Ovis aries: one gene and its partners. The protein of the gene in region 1 purifies or fractionates together with the protein of each later gene. This does not show direct contact. Links are inferred from orthologs where the notes say so. Each region holds a gene or a part of one and is shown on either strand. Other genes may lie near its edges.

Region 1 (3,646 bases):
GATACTTGCTAATTCCCAGGGGCTCCCGTCTGGGGGGGGTCCCCCAAGTCCCAAGGGCCCCTGGATGGAATTCAAGGAATCCAAGAACTTAGATGTATTTCTGTGTAGTGTAACAGTTTTCCTTTGCCATCTTGTGGGGTTATTTTGGTTTGTTTTTGTTTTGACCATGCTGCATGGCTTGGCTTGTGGGATCTTAGTTCCCCAACCAGGGATTGAACCTGGGCCTTCAGCAGTGGAAGCGTGGAGTCCTACCCACTGGAGTGCCAGAGAATTCCCATATTGTGTCTTTTGTTTTTTGTCTGTGTGTATATCTTTTATTTCATGCATTTACAAACCTTATTCTGAGGTGGGTCCATTAACATCACCAGATACACGGCAATCCCATGATTCACACACACACACAAAATTCTGAGCCCTTCTAATCCCTCTTCCAGGAAGTCTTCTTGGACCTCCCTGCCTCTGGGTTCCTACTTCACTTGTTTTCCTCATTATTGCACTCTACACGTTGGATAATATTAGTTCCACTACCTACCTGTCCATTCCCCCTCAAGACTGTTCCAGGAGGGCAGAGACCTTGTTGGCTTTGTTCACCGTTAATATCCTGACACTGGTACACAGTAGGTACTCAATAGTTGCCTATTGGGTGGCTGGCTGGATGAGTGGGAACCCAGCCCAAGAGTTGCACCAGCCGCATCTCTGTGGGTGTTGGTCTCCTCGCACCCCTAGGTATTCTCTGAATACTTCAAGGAGCTGGAGGAGGAGAGTATCCGAGACAACTTTGTCATCGTCTACGAACTGCTGGATGAGCTCATGGACTTTGGCTTCCCACAGACCACAGACAGCAAGATCCTGCAGGAGTGAGTGGGCCGGGGGTCAGCCACAGTGTGGGCCATGGGTGGAAGAAACCTGGGGAGGGTCAGGGAAGTATCCTTGGGTTTATGTGCTCATCTCCCGGCCCCCCCGCCAGGTACATCACGCAGCAGGGCAACAAGCTGGAGACGGGCAAGTCACGAGTGCCACCCACTGTCACCAATGCTGTGTCCTGGCGCTCGGAGGGCATTAAGTACAAGAAGAATGAGGTCTTCATCGATGTCATAGAGTCCGTTAACCTGCTGGTGAGCCTCCACACCTCTGCCCCACCCTCGCTACAGCCAAGGGCCAGGAGAGGGAGCCCTATGCTTGTTAACCGCCTCCCACATCACCAACGTTTGCATCCTCAGGTCAATGCCAACGGCAGTGTCCTGCTGAGCGAGATTGTGGGCACTATCAAGCTCAAGGTGTTTCTGTCGGGAATGCCAGAGCTGCGGCTGGGCCTCAACGACCGTGTACTCTTCGAGCTCACTGGCCGTAAGTTTCTGGAAGGGGGCGCGCGGGGGAGCCTGAGACCTCGCCTCATCTGGGGTGGGTGGTATCCGGAGACCTGCAGTCAATTCTGAAATAGTACTCGCCTGCCCTCTACTGGTCTTGACCAGTACTGCAGCTGCTCGTGCCTTAATGCAAACAACTCTGCTTCATTGTTGAGTGCCAGGCACAAGGACATGGCAGAAAAGAAAAAATAATCTCTGCCCTCACGGAGCTGACGTTCTAGTGGGAGTAGGAGACAGAATAGCATTACATTTCTTCCCTGGTGGCTCAGACAATAAAGACTCTGCCTGCAATGCAGGAGACCTGGGTTCGATCCCTGGGTTGGGAAGATCCCCTGGAGAAGGGAATGGCTACCCACGCTAGTATTCTTGCCTGGAGAATTCCATGGAGAGAGGAGCCTAGTGGGCTACAGTCCATGGATCACAAAGATTCAGACACAACTGAGCGACTAACACCCACAGGATAACATCCTGACAGCAAGGGCCTGATTCCCTGGGGATCCCAGCTCTGTTCCTGGCCAGCTGGGTGACCCTGGGTGAGTTACTCATCCTCTCTAGGCCTCAGTTTCTTCATCTGTAATATGGGGGTGATCGTAGCAGTAGACAGGGAAGGTAAGGATAAGGACCCTGCCCTGGGCTCCAGTGTCACCCCGCTAACTCGGCTCTGAGTTTCAGGGAGCAAGAACAAGTCTGTGGAACTGGAGGATGTGAAATTTCACCAGTGCGTGCGGCTCTCTCGCTTTGACAATGACCGAACCATCTCCTTCATCCCGCCTGATGGTGACTTTGAGCTCATGTCCTACCGCCTTAGCACGCAGGTGAGGCAGGGTCAAGCCCCTGGCTGGGGGCAAGGGTTGACCCCAGAGCCTTGGAGAACTCCCTCTTCCTCTGTCTGCAGGTCAAGCCACTGATCTGGATTGAATCTGTCATTGAGAAATTCTCACACAGCCGCGTGGAGATCATGGTCAAGGTGGGCCCCCGGGGTAACAATTACAGTGCTCAGATCACCCCTCCTACCCTTTCAGCAGTCTAACCACATCTCCCACCTCCCTCCCCAATCATCACGTCCTTCCAGCCACGCAGGTCTCCTGGCTGGTTCTCAAACATGCCAGGCATGGTCCCTGACTATCCCCTCTCCCTGGAGCACTCTGCCCCCAGCCACCCAGATATCCCCCTGGCTCTTCCCTCGCCTCCTTCAGTTCTTTGCTTCAGTGTCACCTCCTAAGAGGAGCCTTCCCTGATTTCTCCACCTCCCTTCTTTGCTCTGTTTTCTTCTCTTATTACTGAACCACCATCGTGTGACACATGATCTGTTTTACTTAATTTACTTAAAAAATATACATTCATACTACTTTATAAATTTACATTTACATCAAAATTTACTTTTTATGAATTTACATTTATATTCATATATGTATATAAACCATAGAGTGTGTTAGATATCAATGTTATCATTGTCATACCATATCATCATATCATACCATGCAGCTTAATTGAATGTGCCTGGTTCAACCAGCACCTCTAAACCCCCACCTGCCCCTTGCCCGACCATGGCTCCCCCAACCCTTGCCCACAGGTGGTCACAATTTGGAATTCCATGTAAATCGTTTCTTTGCTATTGTTTGTAATTTTGCCACCGTCATCTGTAAGCACAAATACTTCATTCTGCCAGTCTCTGACCTTTATATCCGTGAACTCTTGCTGTATGACTTTTTTGTATAATTTGCCTTCTTTGTGTAATGTCGACTTTTAAGAGGAATCCCAGGACCTGCAGCGCAGGGCATCCGTTTCGGTGCCTGTAGACTATTCCACCAGGAGAATCTTCTGTCCTGTGTTTTGCATGTATGGTTTTCATTTCTTGGCTTCTCTGGTTCACATTGCCATGGATAGCCCTGTGCATGTCCCCAGTCCCCCAAACAAGAGCTTCTCCAGAACATATAATTAGTCCCTCCCCACCCTTAAAAGTTTTTTTTTCCCAATCTCTTTTTTAATTAAAAAAGTTGGGGGGATGGTGGAGGACACGCCATACTGCATGTGTGATTTTAATTCCCTGACCAGGGATTTAACTTGGGCCCTGTGCATCGGGAGTGCAGAGTATTAGCCACTGGACCACCAGGGAAGTCCTTAGCCCCCTTTACAGATGGGGAAAGAGGCCCAGAAGAACTAAGATGTCATTCATCTAGGAAGGGAGGGGTCACGTTGAACTTGGGGCTGCCTGGCTCAAGAGTCTGTGTTCTCAGATTTAACTTTGCTCCCCAGTCTTAGAGTCTCAGGGGAACTGG
Region 2 (4,197 bases), on another chromosome or scaffold:
TATATACGCATATATAGATATATACATACATATATATGCATATAAAATACATGTTATATTAATATATTATAATATATTATATATAATGTTATATACTTTATATATTATATTATAATATATGATTATTATATATAAAATACATACAGACATATATATGCATCAGTTCAGTGTTTATATATAACACATATTATATATTTATATATTATATATTATATTTCTAATATATTATTTATATATTATATATAATATAGTATAATTTATAATACATAATATATATTGTACATAATGTAGAATAAATAAATGTATTATGTATTATAATTATATATAATATATAAGTAAATATATTTATATATACATAAATATATAAAATGTATAATATAATATTATACATTTTATAATATTAAAAGACTAGTGATAAAGTGCACAACTGTAGGGGACTGTTTCGGAGAACAGTGGTGCCGTTCATACTGCGCAATTCCATGCAGATATTGTAAAACACCAAGTAGAAATGTATTTATTGTTTTGGGAAACAATAATTCACCAATTCACCAATATCTTGGTGAATTAAAAATACTGAATGGATATATCGAGTCTGGAAGGATATTCACCAAAATCTTAAAAATTATTGTCTCAGGGTGGCAGGATTGCAGGATTTTTTACATAGCCTTTTGCTTACTCGTATATTTCCATAATGCAAATATTATTTTAGATGTTTTTAAGAAGATGATCAGAAATTATCTAGGAGGAGGAGAAAGTTAATAATACCAGAGCTGGGAGTGAGATACCTATAGCAACCCTGGCCTGGCCGACCCAGCAAAACGGGAAATGGAACTTTTAAGTTCTCCTTGGAGGTGTGAGGTTTACGCGGAATTCCCCGAAGGGCTGCTTCAAGCGGTAGGTTAGACTTACAGCTCTAGTTTAACTCTTCTCTTCACAGGTAAGTGATCTTGAGCAACACTGGCGCCTCTCAGAGACTGAGTTTTCCTGTTTGTAACACAGAAGCGAAGCTGACCTCAAAACAAAGAAAAATAGACCTCAAAGTCTCTATGATCTTCTCCATCTCCGTCATGTTATATAGGCTCAGTTCAGCTCAGTTCAGTCGCTCAGTCGTGTTCGACTCTTTGCGACCCCATGGACTGCAGCACGCCAGGCCTCCCTGTCCATCACCAACTCCCGGAGTTTACTCAAACTCATGTCCATTGAGTCGGTGATGCTATCCAACCATCTTGTGGTATTTTTTGCTTGGCGGAGCAGCAACGTGTCGAGGGCGGAGTTAACTCCGACGCCCCGCCCCCTGGCCCCGCCTCGCTGCCACCGCCCCCGCCCGGGTTGTACCCTTGACCCCGCCCCCAGCCTGTGCGTCCACCGGAAGTGCCCGCGCGCGGGCAGCTCACTTCCGCCTGGCAGGTGACAGCCGCGGGGCTCCGAGCGTCCGGCGGCGCGGGCGCACCGGGAGAGCGGGAGGACAAGGCCGCGGACATTTTCCTGTCGCGTCGAGCCGCGCCGTGGCGTCAGGAGCCTTTCGGACCTGCGGGTGAGGAAGCGGGGAGCCTGGCGAGGCCAGAGAAGAAGTGGGGCGGGGAGTCGGGAGTCTGAGGTGAGGGATTTCTGGGGTCAAAGGTCACGGAGAGTACAGGGCGCTGGAGGGTCTAGAGTGGCTTCCCAGGACGGGAGGAGGCAGAAGGGCTGCGGGTTCATTCATTCGCGCCCCCTTGGCCGCCGGCGTGCACCCCAGCCGTCCCAGGTCCGCAGTCCCTGCCGGGGCGCCCTCCCGTAGAGACTCCTAGACTTAGGCCCAGGGGAGCTTGTGCCTGGCCTGACAGGAAACTTCTCTTCGGGTCTTGGTTCCCCCTGCACACTCAGCGCCGTGGCTGTCCTGAGGCCTCCTTGTCGTTAAGGGCCTTATCTCTTTGCCAAGGTTCAAAAACAGAAAAAAAAATATGAAACGGCCTGGCGCCACCGCCTCTAGGGTGGGGTTAAACAGAGGATTGGTCTGTCCCTAGGCGCCTCACAGACGAGGTAACTGGGGACCCCTGTAATAACGCCAGAACTACTGATGGGAATGCTAGCTGCTGGTTATTGAGCTGTGTGCAGGCACCGTGCTTAGAATGCCGCATTTAAACTTCCCAGCAATCTTGGTGAGGTAGCTACTATTATTATCCCCATTTTATCCACGAAGAAACTGAGGCACAGAAAAGTTAAATCACACCTGTAAGGTCAATCGAGTAGTATGGATGAATGCCAGGGTTCCTACCTGGGCTCGCAGGGACCTGCAGCGTGCTGAGACTGAAGCAAGGTTGGCATTTAGGGGCTGTTTAATATCTTTAGCCGCCATTAAATTTATTTGCATCTATATAAAGATATATTTCCCTGGAGAAGGAAATGGCAACCCACTCCAGTATTCTTGCCTGGAGAATCCCATGGACAGCGGAGCCTGGTGGGCTGCAGTCCATGGGGTCGCAGAGTTGGACATGACTGAGCGACTGAACAATAGCATTTAGAGATGTAGCTTGCTTTCTTCTCATCTACCTTCCTAAGGAGCATTTGATTCCCTTTCTTTAGGATGAAATTAGGCCATTGCTATAACTGATTTCTGTTCAGGGTGAGAAGGGGCCTTTTTCCCAACTGTTGAGAACTGCGAGACATAAAACAGTCTAGCCATGCAATGAATTTAAGAATATGCTGCACCTCTCTTGAGAGTGGTCAAGCTGCATTCTTTTTCAAGTAAGGGGAGGAACCACATGACCCCTAGGGTATCTTTTGGCCCTAGGTTCTTGAAGAGCATTCCCAAGGCAAGGACCTGAGTCTCTGAGAAAAGTGCAGGTCCCATGCCTTCTTGACTGGAGAACACACATCTTGCCTGGGAGACAGTGAGGTGGTTTCATGGCCAGAGGATTAGGTCTTGTGAGTCTGAGCTTTACTCGGTTGCAGACATTCACGTGCTGCAGTTCGGCTTCAGTTTCCCTGATAGCAGCACAGACCTGCTGACTTCCTACACACTCCGGGGTTTTACAAGCCTTAGTGAACCTGTGAGGATTTCCACGCACTTATAAAGAAAGCTGAGGTATAAATATTACTGTGCAGTACCTGTTTTTAAACTCCACTGTCTGTTTTCCTAGTTCCATTGAATTCACAGAAACTTAATATTGTCACCTGATCCCCATCCTTCCAAGGGAGGATTTGAGATAAAGTGACTCGTCACAGATGGTAGGAACAGGAGCAGCGCTCAGAGTGTCTGGCTCCCTGTCCTGAGTTGAGCCCACCAGGCTCCTTCAACCCCTCAGGGCAGCTTCATGAAGAGTGGCTTCACTAGTGTTCAAAGACTCAGGTCCCTCAGACTTTGTATAAAGTTTAACTGTTGAGTGTAGTTTGAGTAGAGGCTTCACCTGAGTGACTTGGAGAGCTCAGTGGTGTGGTGGAAAGAGCCTTCCTTGTCCCCCCATCTGTCAGCCGTGGATTCTCCCCCCAGATCAGCAGCTTCTTGGTAGCGTGACCCAGAGCCACCTATCCCTCAGCTCTACAATAATACCACCACCTTCACCTCCCCCTCAGCAGTGACTCGTGTGGAAGCTGGACAAGGACTTTGTGCAGAGTCTGTTGTGGTGAGTGCCTTGACCCTAGGCAGTTGATGTTTCCTGGGGGCTGGTTTTGGGGGTGTTACTTCTCTCTGCAGAGTCCTTTGTGTACACAGGACCTCTCCCATCCTTCTTGTTTCACTTCCTTAAAGTGTTTCAGAACAAGTTCAATCTGTTGATCCTGCTAGCTCTGGGCTTGGACTTTCATCTTTCTCTAGTTATCCTTGAAGCTGTTGCATGACTTGCTTGCTTACTTCCCGAAAACCCCCATTCTTGGCACCAAAGTGTGATGTGCTAATGGTGAGCCAGCATGGCTTGGTTATGAGTTTTGAGCTCCAATGTGTTTCCAGAAATCAAAGGGGCTTCTGTTACTTGCAGGTATTTCTTTTTCTGAATAGGTCTTTTTGCCTAAGATAGATCACTGATAAATTTTCACAGCCCAGGAATGATTTTTGTGTTCTTTTTCTCTCCACACAGAGAGGAATGAACAGCTCCAGAGAGAAAATATTAATTAGACAAGTGGGGAATCTTTTAAAAATAATTCTACTTGAAGGGACTTCCCTGGTTGCCTAGTGGTCACGAATTTGCCTTGCAATGCAGGGGACTTGGGTTCGATCCCTGG
Region 3 (4,154 bases), on another chromosome or scaffold:
AGGAGATTAAGCATTTTGATAATCTGTTTTGGTATGTGTTTTCCCAATTCCATTTTTTTAATTAAAAATAATCTTTTGGAAAATATTCCTTCAACTTTTTCAATCTGCATAGTATTATTACTAATCACATAAAAACATAAGTTTTTGTTTTTGCACACGACTAATCTCGACTCAAGACCACTTTTAAAAATAAATAGTATGATGAAATATCACCAAAACATTGCTGACAATTTTCGTACTTTATATTTTCACTCTAAAATTCATCTTCAAATCTAGAACTGCTGTCAGTGAAACAAATCAAAGAACAAGCAACTGCTCCAAAAGAAATTAAGGTTTCCTAAACAATGTTTATTTCAAGTATGGAACCCCAACAATCCCTTAGACCAAGTAGACATTCAAGTATGATCACTCGAAAGTGCACTAAAATAAACACTTATCATTTGCAAGGCAAAAGGATGCTTTCTCCAACTGCATGCAAACTACCCAAGAATGAATGACGTTTAAATAGCAGTACTTAATACCCTGAAATGAACTAAGTTAACACCCATCTGATAGCTCTCCCAATATTTAATATTGGGAGTATTTGATAGTGTAACTCAGAAATGAACATTTCAGTAGCAACTACAAGGGTATACTCAGTATATGAGTGCTGCTGTGTTTAGTCACTCAGTCGTGTCCAACTCTTTGCAACCCACCAGGCTCCTCTGCCCATGGGGATTCTCCAAGGCAAGAATACTGGAGTGGGTTGCCATTTCCTCCTCCAAGGAATCTTCCCAACCCAGGGATCGAACCCAGGTCTCCCGAATGGCGGGCAGATTCTTGACCATCTGAGCACCAGGGAAGCCCACATATATGAGTGAGGATTCCATTTATCTTGTTAGACAGCCCTTTAAACCAAAATGAGACTCCATGGCTTTAAAGTAAATATACAAACAGTAAATAAAACATTTTTGGAAAGTCTCCTGAAAACAAATACCAAGAACACTATTTACAATGAAACATTCTTGACTAGTACAGGAATTTATCTACCTGATAATAACCTGATAAGAATAATGCACTTATACAGGAATTAGGATTTCAAGTATTGAAAGATTTGGTCAAGTTCAAGTTATAAATTTAAGTTTCAGCAGTCACTAGGGTACCATCTCAAATAATTTACATCTCTCTTTTGCAGATGTGAAAACCCAGGCTGAGGTGAAACAGAGGTGACTCAGTCACACTCATCTAACTTGAATTATAGGAAATAATCAGTGAATTACAGTGAAATGCTTTTTATTCAAGTATACTATACTGCAAACATACCTCAAGAATAGAATGAAAGTGGTGAAATTATGGGTCTGGAGAGTCTATATTTTTAAAGCAAAGGTTAAAGCATATACAGTATGATAAGCATTATGGGGAACAGTAAAAGTGAATATCTAAAATTCAACTATCCCCAGAAAAATAACATACAAGAAGTCAATCCAAGTATTTTTCCGGAGTTAATCAGCGAAGAACACTACTGTACAAACCACTTGAAAGTTAAAATCACTAAGAAATCTTCACTCCTCTCTTCTGTTAACTAATCCCTACAGTATCTAAAAAAGGTTACTTTCCCTTCTACCAATGTCAGACTAAGATCCTTTTTCAGAGGCAGACTGCCCTGGGCAGGGATACACAGCATTAAGAAAAATATGTTAAGTGTCCAAAAGTACCCAGAAGCTACGTGTTCAGCCCAAGAAGGGATGAGAAAATACAAATGAGAAAATATTTGACAGCCTCTTCCTACCACCTTCCCCCCAAAAACCCTTTACTCAGCTTTATAAACACGTACTGTTGAAGCACACTCTTGAGCGAGTGGTTCGACGAATCTCCTACACCAAACCCTAACTGAGAAACACAACCAACGGTCCCGACTCTGTCAAGCCGCCAAGAAAATCGGGAGAATTATTAATAACTGATGCCTGCAGGATTAGGACTTTGAGAGAAGGGTAACCAATGCATTCACAGGTGAGTTTAAGAAAAAGACGGGGGGAACCCCAGAAAATTGGGAAAGAAGTTGGTTGGAAGGTTAGAGAGAGGCGAGGCCGACGTCCAGTTCAAAGAGAACGGCAATGCGGATGCAGACAACGATTAACTAACCGAGCATTTGGAAATACAGAAGAGAGTTTCACGAAAGACCTGACTAGGATGCAAGATACAAGAACACTGATACGTGGCAAACAGAAGACACGCGGAGGTGGGACCCGCCCCGCTAACCCCAGGCTCTCTCAATGAGTCCTCAAAGGAGGAGTGCAGCCTGAGAAAGTCAATGGGTGCAAGGAGGCCCGTACCGGCCGGGCAACGCCATAACACAGACGCAGCCGCGTGCGGAGCCTCCGGGTCTGAGGCCTCGGGGCTGGCCCTCAAGAAGTATGAACAACCCTTGTGCTCCCGGCCCCTCCTGGCCCAGTCTCTGTCCTCTCTTCTCACCCTCCACGATCTGGGACCGGACCCCTGGGATAGACAGGAAACTTCCGGCCGAGAGCTCCCGGCAGGCAAAGAGTAAAACAAGAAGTATTCTCTTCGCGCCGCGACTGACACTCACCGGCCCGAAACCTCGAATGAAACCAGCAGCTCCGGGGGCGGTGGCAGCAGTGGCAGCAGGAACCGAACATCCAAAATGGCGGCTCCCTCGGCCTCACCACCGCTACTGCAGGCGGAGGGATCTTAGGTGGGAAGGAGTTTTTAACTAACTTTGCACACTATCACAGAAACTTAGGGCCCTATCTCTCTCTGCTTGTCGGTCCCGCGTTCCCAGACTGCAACTTCTCTTGCTTCCCCTCTCCTATTATCCAAGAATTCGGACCCCACCGAGGACTATTTGCCAAGGAGGAGGTGACTGCTCCTGGAAGAGCGACGCAAAGCGTAGCAAGAATCGGGGCTGTCACTGATGACGCGAGACGCCGCTGCCGAGTCACCGCTGCGGAGAGTCTGAGCGAGAAAGATCCGGTGGACCCCAGAGCCCACGAACATTGGTTCCGCCTGCGGTGGGGTGGGAGCTGGGCTGCCAGGAAGTGGCGGGGCCACCTGAAAAGGGTGGGGCTAGCAAGGTAGCGGAGGAAATGGGGAGGAGAAGCAGGTAGAGGCGGAGAATACTGAGCCTGGCCGAGCTGGTCCTGATCCACCAGAACCCCAAATTCTTACCTATCACTTTTCAGACCTTAGCTTTCTGTGTAGGTTAACTTTAGGATCATGCTCCAAGTAGTCTTGGATTCTGAAGTTTTATGTCATCTTTGCAACACATTTTATAAAAATAGAGGATGTCACAGAAGAATGGATTTCAAGCACACTATCACCTGTCAACCTTTGGCATTGAACAAGACATTTAGATTCTCTGGGTCTCAGTTTCCTCATTGTAAAAAGAGAAAATTTGTGTTCAGTTCAGTCGCTCAGTTGTGTCCGACTCCGTGACCCCATGAATTGCAGCACCCCAGGCCTCCCTGTCCATCACCAATTCCTGGAGTTCACTCAGACTCACGTCCGTGGAGTCAGTGATGCCATCCAGCCATCTCATCCTCTGTCGTCCCCTTCTCTTCCTGCTCCCAATCCCTCCCAGCATCAGTCTTTTCCAATGAGTCAACTTTTCGCATGAGGTGGTCAAAGTACCAGAGTTTCAGCTTTAACATCATTCCTTCCAAAGAACACCCAGGGCTGATCTCCCTTAGAATGGACTGGTTGGATCTCCTTGCAGTCCAAGGGACTTCAAGAGTCTTCTCCAACACCACAGTTCAAAAGCATCACTTCTTTGGTGCTCAGCTTTCTTCACAGTCCAACTCTCACATCCATACATGACCACCGGAAAAACCATAGCCTTGACTAGATGGACATTTGTTGGCAAAGTCATGTCTCTGCTTTTTAATATGTTGTCTAGGTTGGTCATAACTTTCCTTCCAAGGAGTAAGTGTCTTTTAATTTCATGGCTGCAATCAACATCTGCAGTGATTTTGGAGCCCCCAAAAATAAAGTCTGACACTGTTTCCGCTGTTTCCCCATCTATTTCCCATGAAGTGATGGGACCGGATGCCACGATCTTCATTTTCTGAATGTTGAGCATTAAGCCAACCTTTTCACTCTCCTCTTTCACTTTCATCAAGAGCTTTTTAGTTCCTTTTCACCTTCTGCCATAAGGGTGA

What was found.
Region 2: the proteins of AP1M2 (region 1) and AP1B1 purify together in Homo sapiens (affinity purification with mass spectrometry; 3 studies listed by BioGRID and IntAct, counting the BioPlex papers as one, with this or other methods). This does not show direct contact. The link is inferred for Ovis aries from reciprocal best matches to the Homo sapiens genes AP1M2 and AP1B1.
Region 3: the proteins of AP1M2 (region 1) and AP1G1 purify together in Homo sapiens (affinity purification with mass spectrometry; 4 studies listed by BioGRID and IntAct, counting the BioPlex papers as one, with this or other methods). This does not show direct contact. The link is inferred for Ovis aries from reciprocal best matches to the Homo sapiens genes AP1M2 and AP1G1.

Annotation. Positions count from the first base shown.
Region 1 is NC_056058.1:12,931,479-12,935,124, reverse strand, and holds part of AP1M2 (AP-1 complex subunit mu-2), read left to right. Parts: intron 1-726; coding exon 727-857; intron 858-967; coding exon 968-1,115; intron 1,116-1,220; coding exon 1,221-1,347; intron 1,348-2,033; coding exon of another isoform or gene 2,034-2,039; coding exon 2,040-2,182; intron 2,183-2,262; coding exon 2,263-2,334; intron 2,335-3,646. UniProt on the Homo sapiens protein: Subunit of clathrin-associated adaptor protein complex 1 that plays a role in protein sorting in the trans-Golgi network (TGN) and endosomes.
Region 2 is NC_056070.1:68,659,881-68,664,077, reverse strand, and holds the start of AP1B1 (AP-1 complex subunit beta-1), read left to right. Parts: upstream 1-1,387; 5' UTR 1,388-1,534; exon of another isoform or gene 1,535-1,597; intron 1,598-3,552; 5' UTR 3,553-3,602; intron 3,603-4,197. UniProt on the Homo sapiens protein: Subunit of clathrin-associated adaptor protein complex 1 that plays a role in protein sorting in the late-Golgi/trans-Golgi network (TGN) and/or endosomes.
Region 3 is NC_056067.1:38,790,445-38,794,598, reverse strand, and holds the start of AP1G1 (AP-1 complex subunit gamma-1), read right to left. Parts: upstream 2,887-4,154; 5' UTR 2,452-2,886; exon of another isoform or gene 1-2,451. UniProt on the Homo sapiens protein: Subunit of clathrin-associated adaptor protein complex 1 that plays a role in protein sorting in the late-Golgi/trans-Golgi network (TGN) and/or endosomes.